2 linked regions of the Coturnix japonica genome follow. The protein of the gene in region 2 interacts with the protein of the main gene of each other region in a pairwise test. Links are inferred from orthologs where the notes say so. Each region holds a gene or a part of one and is shown on either strand. Other genes may lie near its edges.

The links.
Region 1: the proteins of NMT2 (region 2) and ACBD6 interact in binary tests that used the Homo sapiens proteins (3 or more experiments, as listed by UniProt). The link is inferred for Coturnix japonica from reciprocal best matches to the Homo sapiens genes NMT2 and ACBD6.

The regions. Positions count from the first base shown.
Region 1 is NC_029523.1:5,773,982-5,780,412, forward strand, and holds part of ACBD6 (acyl-CoA-binding domain-containing protein 6), read right to left. Parts: intron 6,316-6,431; exon of another isoform or gene 6,239-6,315; intron 4,876-6,238; coding exon 4,770-4,875; intron 1-4,769. UniProt on the Homo sapiens protein: Binds long-chain acyl-coenzyme A molecules with a strong preference for unsaturated C18:1-CoA, lower affinity for unsaturated C20:4-CoA, and very weak affinity for saturated C16:0-CoA. Does not bind fatty acids. Plays a role in protein N-myristoylation.
Region 2 is NC_029517.1:18,754,437-18,760,867, reverse strand, and holds part of NMT2 (glycylpeptide N-tetradecanoyltransferase 2), read right to left. Parts: intron 6,213-6,431; coding exon 6,068-6,212; intron 4,167-6,067; coding exon 4,048-4,166; intron 3,941-4,047; coding exon 3,849-3,940; intron 3,743-3,848; coding exon 3,626-3,742; intron 3,255-3,625; coding exon 3,084-3,254; intron 1,790-3,083; coding exon 1,681-1,789; intron 1-1,680.

The DNA of each region.
Region 1 (6,431 bases), on a different chromosome or scaffold from region 2:
TTCATGATTTATGTCCTTGCACTCAGCACCACAATCAACGTCTAAGAGAGGGAAAGACGGCCATTTACTCATGAATCTGTAAACACGGGAAGATCTTTAATTCATCTTCAGCATCCTTGCTTGAGTCCAGTGAAGGAAACCCAATGGTTGAGGAGGAATTGTGCTGCCCAGTGTGTGAGCATGGTGATACTGCAGCATGGTGCAACCAGCCCCTTCCTGCAGTGCTGGATGGCAGCTTGTGCTGTGAACGCTGCTTTTTGGACGAGACAAGAAACTGAAGCCTGATCATCTCCAGTCATTAAAAATCTCCTCGCGCTATTTGCAGGAGTATGGATTTCAAGTCTTGGGCCAATTCCATTTTGGGTAATTACACTCTGCTTACCTATATATTTTCTCTGCAATTCTAAATGGATACAATATTTTCCAATTAGTGCCTTAAACAGTTCTGCATTGTAATCGGGCACTATTAAAAAGCTGACACGTTCCGACCAAGAAATGGCTGCATCCTTGCAGCATCGTATTCCCTATCACAGGGTGGCAGGGACCCTCTCTACAAGAGCACTCCACCTGATGTGGAAGTAAGAAGTAGAATCTCAGTGTACTCACTACATAACAAAAAGCATTGCTAAGAAACTTAAGTTTAAAACTATCACAGAATCATAGAATGGCCTGAGTTGAAAAGGACCTCAATGCTCATATAGTTTAAACCCCACCGCTGTGTGTAGGGTGGTCAACCACTACACCAGGCTGCCCAAAGCCACATCCAGCTCATGACTGCTTGCATCGAAGCAGGCAAACTAAAATCTGTAGTCCTGGTTATATGTATGTTAAGACAGCTAAATAGCTACAAAGTCTACCTGTTTCCCAGGTCTTCCTTAAAAAAACAGTAACAATTTAATGATAAACAAATTGAACGCACAATCTACAACTCTCCGCACAGCTTGGCTATCACCTATACAGGTTGAAATCAGCCTGCACAGCTGTTACTTTACATCAACATGTGTCTGCTTCTCTAAATAACACAGCAGAAGCATTAAGAGCCACAGATTGAGCTGTCCCAAAGCACTTCCCGTATGACTATTTCATTAGGCAGTGAAAGGCTCAGACCAAGGCGAATAATTTTGCATGGGAAAGCACTGCAGCAGTAGCCTTGCCCAGTGCAATCAGACAGCAGGGTACTCTCTCCGTGCAATTCAAACACACAACAGTTGTTGCAGAAGTTACTTGAGAAGATGCATTTCCCCTGCCTCTGAAGTATTTAATAAAAACAGCATAAAAATAGCCCCGGTGCACTAACCCTGCCTCTTAAATCTTCCGTGCTTTGCTTGGGTAACCGCTGCCAGCTTGGCCGGCTTCTGCAGCAGTTTCTCAAGCCAACAGCATATCAATTTGCTCAGCTCCAAGTCACAGTGTGTTCACAAACAAAGCACAGGACAGGGATTTGTCTCAGCTAGACCCAACCTCAGCAGACAAACGGATGGGAATGAATTTCACATCAATTAGCCAGTGCAGAGAAAGAGGAGAACAAAGCCAACCTCAATGGAAACGCCACAGCAGCAAGCTCTACTTCTAGGTACAACGTTTGCAGTTGTAAAGTCTGTACACCAACGACAGCCAATCTAACCTGTAGCAAGTGTTTTATTACTGGTAATTAAGACAAGGTACATTCATAATGGCTCCATCCCCTTCCTGCAATTGCAAAATCAGTGAAGGGGAGTGCAGTTGTTGCGGCTGTACAGGTGAACTTCAGCTCTGAGGTGGAAGCCAAGCACTTTCAGAGCCTTGAGACGTTGAGGGAAACCCCCCTGATGGCAGTAAGCATGCACACCCAGCAATGCTTCTCCAAATCCATATCCCACCTGTCCTTGCCTTGGCACTAGTTTGGCACTTGCAGTCTCAAAAGTTGGGGCTAAGTGAGCATCATTCCAGACACCTTTTATTAGCGAGTTTTGGTAAGGGTTTAAATACAGACAGATATTAGGAGGAAGTTTTTTGCACAGAGGGTGATGACGCACTGGAACAGGTTGCCCAAGGAGGCTGTGGATGCCCCATCCCTGCAGGCATTCAAGGCCAGGCTGGATGCGGCTCTGGGCAGCCTGGGCTGCTGGTTGGTGACCCTGCACATAGCAGGGGGTTGGAACTGGATGGTCATTGTGGTCCTTTTGAACCCAGGCTGTTCTATGATTCTATGATTGTTTATTGGGGCATCTCCAACAGTTACAACAAAAGCTCCACCTACAGTCACCCCGGATGCTGGCACAGATGATGGAAGCAACCCACCTATGCCCCTGAACAACTTCTGGTTAGTTAACAGCTGAAGAAATACTGCTCTCACAAAGGCAGCAAACAATCCATGCTGCTGCAGTGTGCCTGATGCCCTGCAGTGACTCCCCAGCCACAGTCCATCCCTTATTCCATTAGTCCTGCTGACACACGCAAGAGAAACTGGTTGTTTTAGACTGCACTACTTACTACTAAGTGAATGCAAGCTATTCTGTTGAACTCTGGGCAATTTAGATACAGTAAATGGAAGTGTGTACATGATTACTGTCATTAGATTCTTTGCTTAATTCTAAATTGAAGTTTATTATATCTGCACTGTTAGCAGGTATGCCAGCTTGACTGCTGTCCATGAAGATTTTCATTTCTTTCTTTAATCTAGGGGAGGAGACAGCTCGTGCTTCAGGAGTTGCCAAGGGCATCTCTGCCTAAAGCCTACAGACTCCTACTGCTCCTTCTGAAATCCTTTTGCTCCTTTTATTCTCATTTTCTCCCTTTGCTAACCAGACACAGTACAAATACATCGCTCGGAATAAAACCAAAGCACCTTAGAGCTGCAGGCAGGTCATTCCTGTTGCAGGAGCGGCTGTGCTGAGAGTCTTTACAGCTGAGCACGAGGCTGCTCGGTGCTCCAGCAGATTTTGTTCCATAACAAGTTAACTCTTTGTACAGACCCATGCTGCCATTTTATATTTATATGCGTTTAAATCAAAAGATCGACAGAGTGAGTTACGTTCAGAGGGCTGGGAAAGGCATCTTCTGGATATGGCAGGATGTATTTACACTGTAACACTAAAACAGTTAATAAAAATGACAAGATGATGTTTGCATACACTTCGCCCTACCAAAGGCTCGCTCTGGGTTATCTCCTTCCTAAAACAGGTTCTAAAACTTCAATCAACTTGCACGATATTGGAAAATGAGATGCCCTCCAGACTCTGAAGGATGCATTTGGATACTAAACAGCTCTGGCGATGGGTTCAGCCCCCTCAAAACAGCATCGAACAAATATTTCTCTCAGATTTCTCTTCTAGCTTCTCTAATTTATTTATTTATTTAACCAATTAAAATCAAGTCTAACGAAGCCAGCTCCTGCTAAAAAAGGGGCTCCTATTTCTCTGAGCGCTTGCTACCTATACCTATGAGGGAATTCTGCACCATCTTTCTATTGACTTTCCACAGGTAGCCAGGACTGCAGAGGTGTCAGATGTTTGCTGCTGCAGCTCCATGCTCTGCGAGTGCCTGCTGGCTCTGAAACAGGCCCTCTCACACTATGGACACATGGGTATATTTCTCAAAGAGGATGTCACTCCACACCTTTCAGATCTGGCTCCAAATGTTTACAAGGAGAGAACAACAATATTTCAGCCACTGTTCACATATATTCTTTAAACAATTTCTTTGGCTGAAAACATGAACATTCGCTGCTAAGACTCAAAAGAAGGAATCAGCTTCTGAACCTTGCAAAGCATGAAAACATCTCATCAATGGAAATGAAGCAAAGATCACATGATGTTATTGTGCACTGATTACAAGCGTGTGATCTCAAAAATAGGATTTTATTAATGAAAGGCTTCTGGCCGTGTTGGGAATGACTGCCCTGGGCACTCACTTCTGCAACCTGTGGCTGACAGAAGGACAAATGGAGCTGAGTAACAGCCCTGCTGCAGTGACTGCATGGCATATGACAGTTTCAGTTCATTGAATTCACAATGCAGAATTCCAGCTCTGATCGTGAACACCTTCCCTCTCATCTGAAAATTAATTCACACGAATTCCTGATTAATAATAAAAGACCCTGCCATCAGCATTCAGAGCCCCAGCCGGGGCTGTCATGGCTCAGAGGGCAGAAATCTGCTTAGAGCTACAGGAGAACCCAACTGAATTTGTGGCGTCTCAGTCTATGAATGTGTAAGCACTTCATCTGTTCACCAAAACACAATGTGCTGGAAAGCAGCGGGCAAAAGTAGCTGTACGTACTATTGACCAAGAGCAGGGCTAGGTGGCAGTATGCAAGCACTGAAACCAGAGCAATAAAGCTGCTACATCTCCCGAATGAGAAACTGTCCACTTCACATGTCTTTTTTTACCAAGAAAATCACCAGACCATTCGCGTGCATTTGTCTTTTTCTTCAGGTTTCTGGCAGTATCTCTATTGTTTCCCTGTAGGAGAAATGGTGCTTCAATCCTGAAACGATGCCCCTAGAAAGGGGGGTATTCAGCACATCATTCTGCAAGTTGCAGCTCTTCTTACTGAGAATAACAGGAAGTTTCTGACATGCTCCAAAATCACAGTACATCCACACTGCTGGGAATCCAGTGGAAAGCTGCTCTTTTCGAACACATTACACTCATCTCCACGATGAAGTGTTGGTCCAACTCCTGCAGTACTTTATAACAAGTCTAATCAGAAAATTCTGGGAAGGTTTAATACTGTTAACAAACTAAACAATTAAAAGACTGATTTTCTGTATCTTTTTTACCCATACCTCCTCATCTGCGACATTCACGTCCACTTTTTTCGACTGAATGGCTTTGGTTACATAGTCAATGTTGTTTTCTCTGCAGTAATCAAAAATGTTCTTGTCCTCTTCTCTATTCAGGAAACAAAAGCAAAAGAAATAGCACATTACTGCGCCGCACAAAGGCCACGTGCATTCTTACGCTCTAACATTGCTACAAACATTTCAATAGCACCACTGGAGTGGAACAGGCTCCTGGGATGATGCATGCAGAACAGTATGTTTTTCCCCCATGTAGGACTCAGAAATTCCTGCTTCCTAGAAACAAAGCTTGTTTTTAACAACACTATGCCAGGGCAGAAGTCCTACTCCTGTCAGCTCTCACAAGAAGCTTATAAAGTTGCCCAACACAAAACCCGCTCAGTCCTGGTATATATCACTGCAGTCTGCCAGAGGATAAAGGGCTAAAGCTCTGCTTCTCCCTGCCACGCAAACAAACTTGTAACTGCCATCTCCTTGACTCAGACCAAAGGCCTTTTCAATGCCATATATCTCATCGGGCACTAATGGAGGTTTGGAGGAAAGAGCAGAAGAAACAGGACAAGCGCAAAGCAGCCGCCCCTTGGTTAGATCCTCAGCTTCTGAAACTCGGTAGCTTAAGGATTTCTGTAGCTGTATCCAGATGAAGATATTTCTCACATTCTTCCAGACTCTTTTTCAAACACTTTTCTACTTTTTAACCCATCTGTACTCCTAGCCTTGTTAAAGGAAAGCTCTACAGCTCCACATTCTGGGCATGAAGGGGTGAAAAGTGAACAGATACTTTCTTTTGGTGATTTTAAAACAGATGACCTTATTGGGTACCCTTAGGTAATCTGTGCTTATTCACTTACATCACACCACCTCCAGACCTCTCACATGACCACACAAGTCACCTTCTCTCCAGATGCTCCTTTCAAACTATGTTGTTGTCTCCTCGGTCATAAACTCCTACTTTTGCTGATGTTCCCCTTTCATCCCCTTCTTCAATCTCTCTCCTTACTTTCTGAGATGGGTTGACCCAAATCTGTATTACATACGCAGGTGCACAGATTTATACAGTGGGGTAAAAGTATCTTCATTCAGCTCTCCATCCTTTTCCTTATGGTTCTGAGCACTTGCTTCACCAATTGCCCAGAAGTGCTGTAGATCCAGCAAATGGTATGAAGCTCTTTTGTGTCTTACGAATCCATATGTAGGTCTTAACTTCATTTGAAATTGTTTGCTTCACTGGTAATAATAAGTTTTAGCATGTCTGAAGCCAGAATACTGTTTCTAGCTCCAGAAGAAGCTATTGTTGCATATGGTAACCTTTGAATCACGGCCTGAACCACTGATTGAGCACCTGGGGAGGGGACTGGCCAGCCCTGGGAGCACAGGTGAAAGCAATTCAGCTGCATGACCAGAAAGAGCGGAGCCTGGCTGCACCACTCTTAGACCTTATTTAAGAGCTGACTGCCATTGGGGAGGGATCTCTTTCTGGAGATTCCTCTTTTGTGGAGTTTCCCTTGCAAGCTTAGATCTTCAGAGACAGGTAAGCACTTTTCCATTGCTCTAATTCCTTTGTTACTGGATTTCCTGTATCACTGTTCTATCACATTGATCTTTCTGATTGTTATATGGTGTAATTGCAACACTTGCCACAGCCCA
Region 2 (6,431 bases):
CCTTTCCACAGGAAAAGAAACTCTATAGAACCCAAAGCACAAAAACTAAGCAATAAGCATTAGCAAAAATGTCAAGGCTAGGCTGGATAGGGCCCTGGGCAACCTGATCTACTGCCTGATTTAGCGGCTGTCAATCCCACCCACAGCAGGGGAGCTGGAACTAAATGATCTTTAAGGTTCCTTCCAATCCATTCTGTGATTCTATGAAAAAGATTACATCTTTATTTTCCACAGAACAATCTCCCAAGTTCTATATAAAAGTAAATGAACAACTGTGGTATAAGGAATCCCAAAGCCCATGGATTACGGCTGACCACAGTTACACTTCACCATACGATCCATATCTCATTCTTTAAGCTATTCTTACCCTGTATTGTTGTATTGTTTCCGTGAGAAAGAGTACTAGTGTTGCTACTGAAACCTATATTTGAAATTGTCTATGGGAATTCTTAAGACTTTTTAAAAACATCTTCAGATTTGATGAAAGCTATATTTAGTTCTCCAAGATTAAAACCTAATTAACAGAGTTATTAATTTGTAAGCTCTGAAAACAGCTGCCCTGCACACGAGGGAGAACCCACACGCGCAGGCATAGGTAACAGGCAGCACAGGAAATGAGTCCCACTGACAGCAGCAGGAGCTGAGATCAAGCCATGGCACGTGCTTCATACTGAGGAGTGCTCAGTGTGTTACTCACGTGGACCAGTAACAACAGAGCCTGCAGCACCAGGCTAAATATATTATAAATAAATTGGAGAAACATTTCTCCAAAGGCGGATAAATCATTACAAAGTACATTATAAGTATGAAAAAGTACTTTAAAAAAAAAAAAAAACAAACAAAAAACCAAAGGGAGGGTTTGTTTACATCAAAAAGGTTTACTTGATATGGCACTGGTCCAGAGGACAGTCTGCAAATCCCTCCAAATAGAAAGGTAGCTTTTGCAAGCAAATACATTGCTTTCAATCATACAGCTTAGGCCAGCTTCTATAGGTTATTACAGCAATGAGATTTTTTAATAGTTCATCTCAGACTACTCACAGTGACTTCCCCTGTCAAGGAAATGCAACTGAAGGCTTTTTGCCAGCCTGCCTATTAGGAGAAATATGGAAAAAATATTTTTAACTAACCTAGCTATGCCAGAATGCTTTTTTTTTTCCTTGGCCACACCGTGCTATTAACTGTACACAGTGTTCAAGGCAGCTTTTGCTGAGCCAGCTCACTGCAGAAGAACAACTTTCTCTGACAGACAAGAAGCAGCTGAGACTTGGAGGAGAACCAACCCATCCCACTGTGCTCGACCAACTTTCTAGAGGACTTTCCTGAGAATGTTATGATATTAGCTGTTACTTTTCTACTCCAGCAATTTTGATCAGATTAATTACACTTAGAATAATCTTATGGATCTTCAACTCAGTGACACGTGTTTATGAAGCTAGGGCATCTTTGTGCTTTTACTTTTTTTTTTTTGAGCCCACATTTGTATTTTCTCCACACACAAACCTCCACCTCTAGGAATAGTCCCTTCTGTTTAGCACAGACCCTTATTTCTTCTTGGTAGAAAAGATTCTGTTTTTCTGTGCTCTACATGCACAAAAGCCTGAGCTGTCAGAGACAGATGGAAGGCTATTTTGGGCCTCCCAATAGCTGTGGGGATTCTCTAGAAGACACACTGCTTACATCAGGAAGTCTGTAGAGCTTCATTGTTCTTTGTAGAGTCATGTTTCTACTCAAATGTGAAAACTTCACCTCCACCAGTTTTCTGGGATTCAGTGATCGATGCCAATACCTGGAAATGAAATTCATGAGATTAGATGGTGTTTTAAGTGTCAGCTTTACCTGTATCCATTTCTCTAATTTCCTGCTTTATTTATTTATTTATTTATTTCCTAGCCAGCCTGCACTGACCTGATGTCTGTAGGAGGCTTGAACAACAAACATACAAACAAAAAAACAACAAAGAAGGAAAAGCTATACCTAAGCAGTAGCTGTTAAACAAGCCAGCAATCACCGCATTTTGAGTCTAATCTCCTTAAGGAATGAGTAACCCCAGGGCTAAACATTCTACTACCTGCCATATCGCAACCAATCTTTTCTTACTTACAAGGTAACATTTATTTTATTGATTACTTGTCAAAGCTTAAGAACAGAGGTCCCTCTTTACTCAGTGTCTGAGCAGTCTGGTGAAGGGACTCCTCTGTGCAGCCCATAGTGCACACAACATCCCTGGTTACTCTAACACAGCGTGGCTTTCTTGCCATCCTCACCTACAAAAGGTTACAGAATCTTTGGTGTTGATACGTACAAGTGAAATTTAAACCAAATAGCTCATACATGAGTATTCTGTCCTCAGACGGATATCACTGACACAGGACTTTTCCCAGCAGAAATAAAATCCACTCCAAGCAAATGAAATCATACTTCACAACATACAACTATTTTCATGTGATAGTTCTCCCGTCTTCATTAAATTCCTTTCTCCAGAAAAGACGAAAGCATTGAGAAAAGCAGATCACACAATTCCCAGAAATGCTCTGCCATCTTTGGCAACCAACCAGGTCAACAGGGAAACGTCCCAGCAGGAAAACAGGCCACTTGAAAAAACACAGGTATACAATGCTGCCATTGCTAGCATGGCTTTCACCAGAAGCTCAACAAAAACCTGATTAATCTATTCAAGGTACAATAAACAAACTCAGTTTTAAATTTCATCCCATGCTCCCCTGCACTTCTCTGGGGGAAGAAGTAGAGAAGGATGGATGGATGGATGGATGGATGGATGGATGGATGGATGAGGGAGAGTTGGTGTGCAGTTATATATAAAAATTATATTAGTCTCCTTATGTTGAATCTCTTTTGTCCGTCGGAGTAACTGTTAAGAGATCTCCCAGTCTTTATCTCGACCCACGTGCTTTTTTCCATCATATTTCCTCTCCCTGTCTTTTTGGGAAGGGAGAGTGAGAAAGCAGCATGGCAACGCAATTACCTACCAGCATAAAATTACCACAATAGCCAATTACACAGCATGCACTTCAAATGACTGCTACAGGAACCAATGCTATTATGAACATCACCTAGGTTACCTGCAAGTGGCCACAGGCTTTGGCAGCACCACTCCTGCTGTGTAAACAGCCTGAAAGATCCCCTCCAGGTTTACTCTTCTGGTTATTTCCCGGATCAGTACAGGTGCCACCCGTTTAGATCTCAGTTTCTTATGAACACACAGAAAATTGATTTCTACCATCTTCTTCACACTAAAAGGACATTATAGTGAGAAAATGAATTTTAAAAAACCCCGAACTATTGACAAAAACAAGCAGTGCAAGCTGCATATTCTCTATTATATAACATTAGTTTTCCATGTTGTAACAGAAGAATCTGATGCAAAAATAAATCAGCCCGTGTCAAATTACATCTGCAACAAAGATTAATCTGACATTGTGACACGAGTGGAAAACTGTATGAAATGCAAAGCAGCGTCTAAGCTGTTTGCAGTGCTGCATTCCCTACTGTTAATGAGCCTCTCTGTAATTTCTCCATTGTAATGGATGCCAGTTTTAAGATTTGTAACATGCCACTTGAAAATATTATGTTGTACAGATGTAAAAGTAACGCTGTGTTTTACCTGTCATAAACACGAATGTTTGCAGGGATGGCACTTATGAATCCTACCAGCTTTTTGTTTGAAGACACTCTAACCCCACAGTGCCACTGCGGTAACCAGCCCGGAGGACGCAGAGCCCTAGAAACGATGACAGAAATAATTACAAATTACTGCCTAAGAAGATGTAATAAAAACACCCTTCTTTGCACTCCAGCCAGAACAGAATGTAGCACTTGCCACTCACCACAGAAGAAATTCAGGGGAATAATCAAACCTAAACATATTATCATCATCTTCTACATAATTCTCATTTAACAGTGTGTATAACTCCTTCAGCTGAAAACAAAAAACAAAACACAAAGAAAAAGAAAAGGTTTATCCACACACATCAAGCAGAATATATTTCAGGGATTTTAGGTACGTGTAATAAATGTTTTACTTACAACTTCAGCATTGCTAAGATCCAACGTGTCCCACATAAAACCTTGTGGCAAAGAATATGGCTCTAGGCGGACATTGTCCTTATCTGGCTCAATTGCACCGTGTGACGTTATGACTTCATCTTTAGAAGGAAGAAAAAGCAAGGGAGAAAAGAAGAGAAAAAAAGAGTACAGTTACACTGCTGACTTCCCCATTAATTCTCAAGAACATCTCAGTTCTTACAGACTGCATTCAGACCAACTACTACTTCATCACAGTATGTTCAGCCAGCCACACAACTACTCCATCCAGTATTTCATAATACGGGACAGCAGTTTATCAGCACATGCATGGCGCTTGGCCAGCTATGAAATCCGTGGTTTCATTATGAGAAATATGTTCCTACAGCTAATGAGCGACGGCTCCTGTTTACAACTGCCTTGAACAGGTCTGAGCTCAGCAGTACTCCTAAGGACCAGCAGTATTGCAAAACCAGGGCTTGTAAGGAATGCCAGAAAAATAGGAAATGTGTCTTAAAATCCTACATGAAAGAGTATTTCCCCTATCCTGATGCACAGCTCTAGTTCATCAGTATATAACAACTGGCTATAAACAGAAATTGCTCCTCTTCCATGGAGTGGCACCTGCCAAACATGGCATGTACTTTTCCCAAACGATGCCCACTCCTGACAAGTAGTTACATCTCACTGCCCCATTTGGAAGGTCAGAACTACCAGCATCTTTACATAAATTTTGGCAGTATCAGCTGTCTCAATATACAGCAAATGACCTACTATTTTACGGTAACAGGTCTCTTGCTAACAGCGTTAATTATAAGGCAGATGGATTCTGAAGTTAATTTAATGCAAAGATTCCTACACCTACTTCTTGAATCAACACATTTGTTTTCCAAGTGAACATAACCTGTGTATCAAACAGTGAAGACTTCCCTTTACGTTCATCCAGCAGATTAAGCTAAAAAAGATAATAAAATTAAACAACAGACTCAAGAAGCAATTCAGAAAAACTGCTGAACAGAATCTCTGCCAGCCAACTCCGCACAGTGTAGTTCTTCTCAACAGCCCTAACAATCCATCTGCAGAGTGGGGAGCACTTTGCTCTGGACTTCTCCATGCAAGGAAATCAGGGGAAACACGATCACTGAAGACTGAGCTAGAGGCCTGCACTGATGTGAAACACCGGCCATCAGACAGATGGAGAAAAGTGTTCCTGTGCTTTACACTATAACTGATTTCTGCCTATTCTGTACCAGCCTCCAATGCCATGGAGGCAAACTTCCAGAACAGAACAATGGCAGCTCCTGCTTTACTTGTGGGGTCCCCAGGTTTCTTTGGCACAACAGAGCTAGAACAGCTTGACTTGAAAAAAAAAATTGAAAGGAGAAGATGACACAGAAATAAGTCAGAAAAAAAAACACAAAAAAAGCAACATAAGAGTCAGCAACTGTCTTCTCCAAAAGGGACTCAGAACATGTGATTCCAAGGTAGTGCACTCTGTGGAAGAAACAGGTGAACGAAGAGCCATGGAAGAGTTCAGGCATGAGGGAAGTGTCATTAACCACTTAAAGCTGCATGGAAACACTGCAGCCTGCACCAGGAGAGTCACCATCACTGTGACTGCAAGTTGATCCCTCCCACCCAACCTTCCCACCCCCCAAAAAACCAAAACACCAAAAAACAGGGAAAATAAATAGAACAAAAGTTTATTCCCATCATCACTTGATAGATTTTATTTGCCCTGAAATGTTCTCTTTATGTTTTGTCGATTAAGGGTTCAGACCTAAAATATACAAAGGAATGTTACTGCAACAGGAGTTTTGTAGAGAACATCAGAATGAGATTCATTAGCACTGTGCTTTGTTGCATATTAGTTTGAAGGGCAATGACTCACCTACAGAATATCAATAATTCCATATAAACAACACAAAAGATTAAGGAACTCCACCACATTTAGTCCGACTTAAAGCCACACAACTGGTGTACATTCTTTCCAGATCACACGCCCAAGCCCAATTCAACTTACTAAGTTTCGGTACAGGTTGTGTATCCCAAAACTGGTATTTACGTTTGGTAGCCTCATCAATGTTCTTTGCTGGACCTTGGCATGCAGAGAGCAGCTCCATTGCTCTCTGGATATCTTGAAGCTTCTGCATTGGAATGGCTGGATTCTGCATGTGGAGACAAAGAGAAGAGGGTACCATTACTTCAGATACACTCTTCACTTTAGACCACTGTACAAATGTGTGCATTTACTTTATTCTTTTGTATTCTTTCATAAGCTCTTCTTACTACAGTCACTTCTGATATTATCTTCAGCAGCGGGAGGAGGGAAGGATAGGTGGGAAGGAGACAAGCAGTTTCTCATAATACTTAGCAATTTTGAGTAG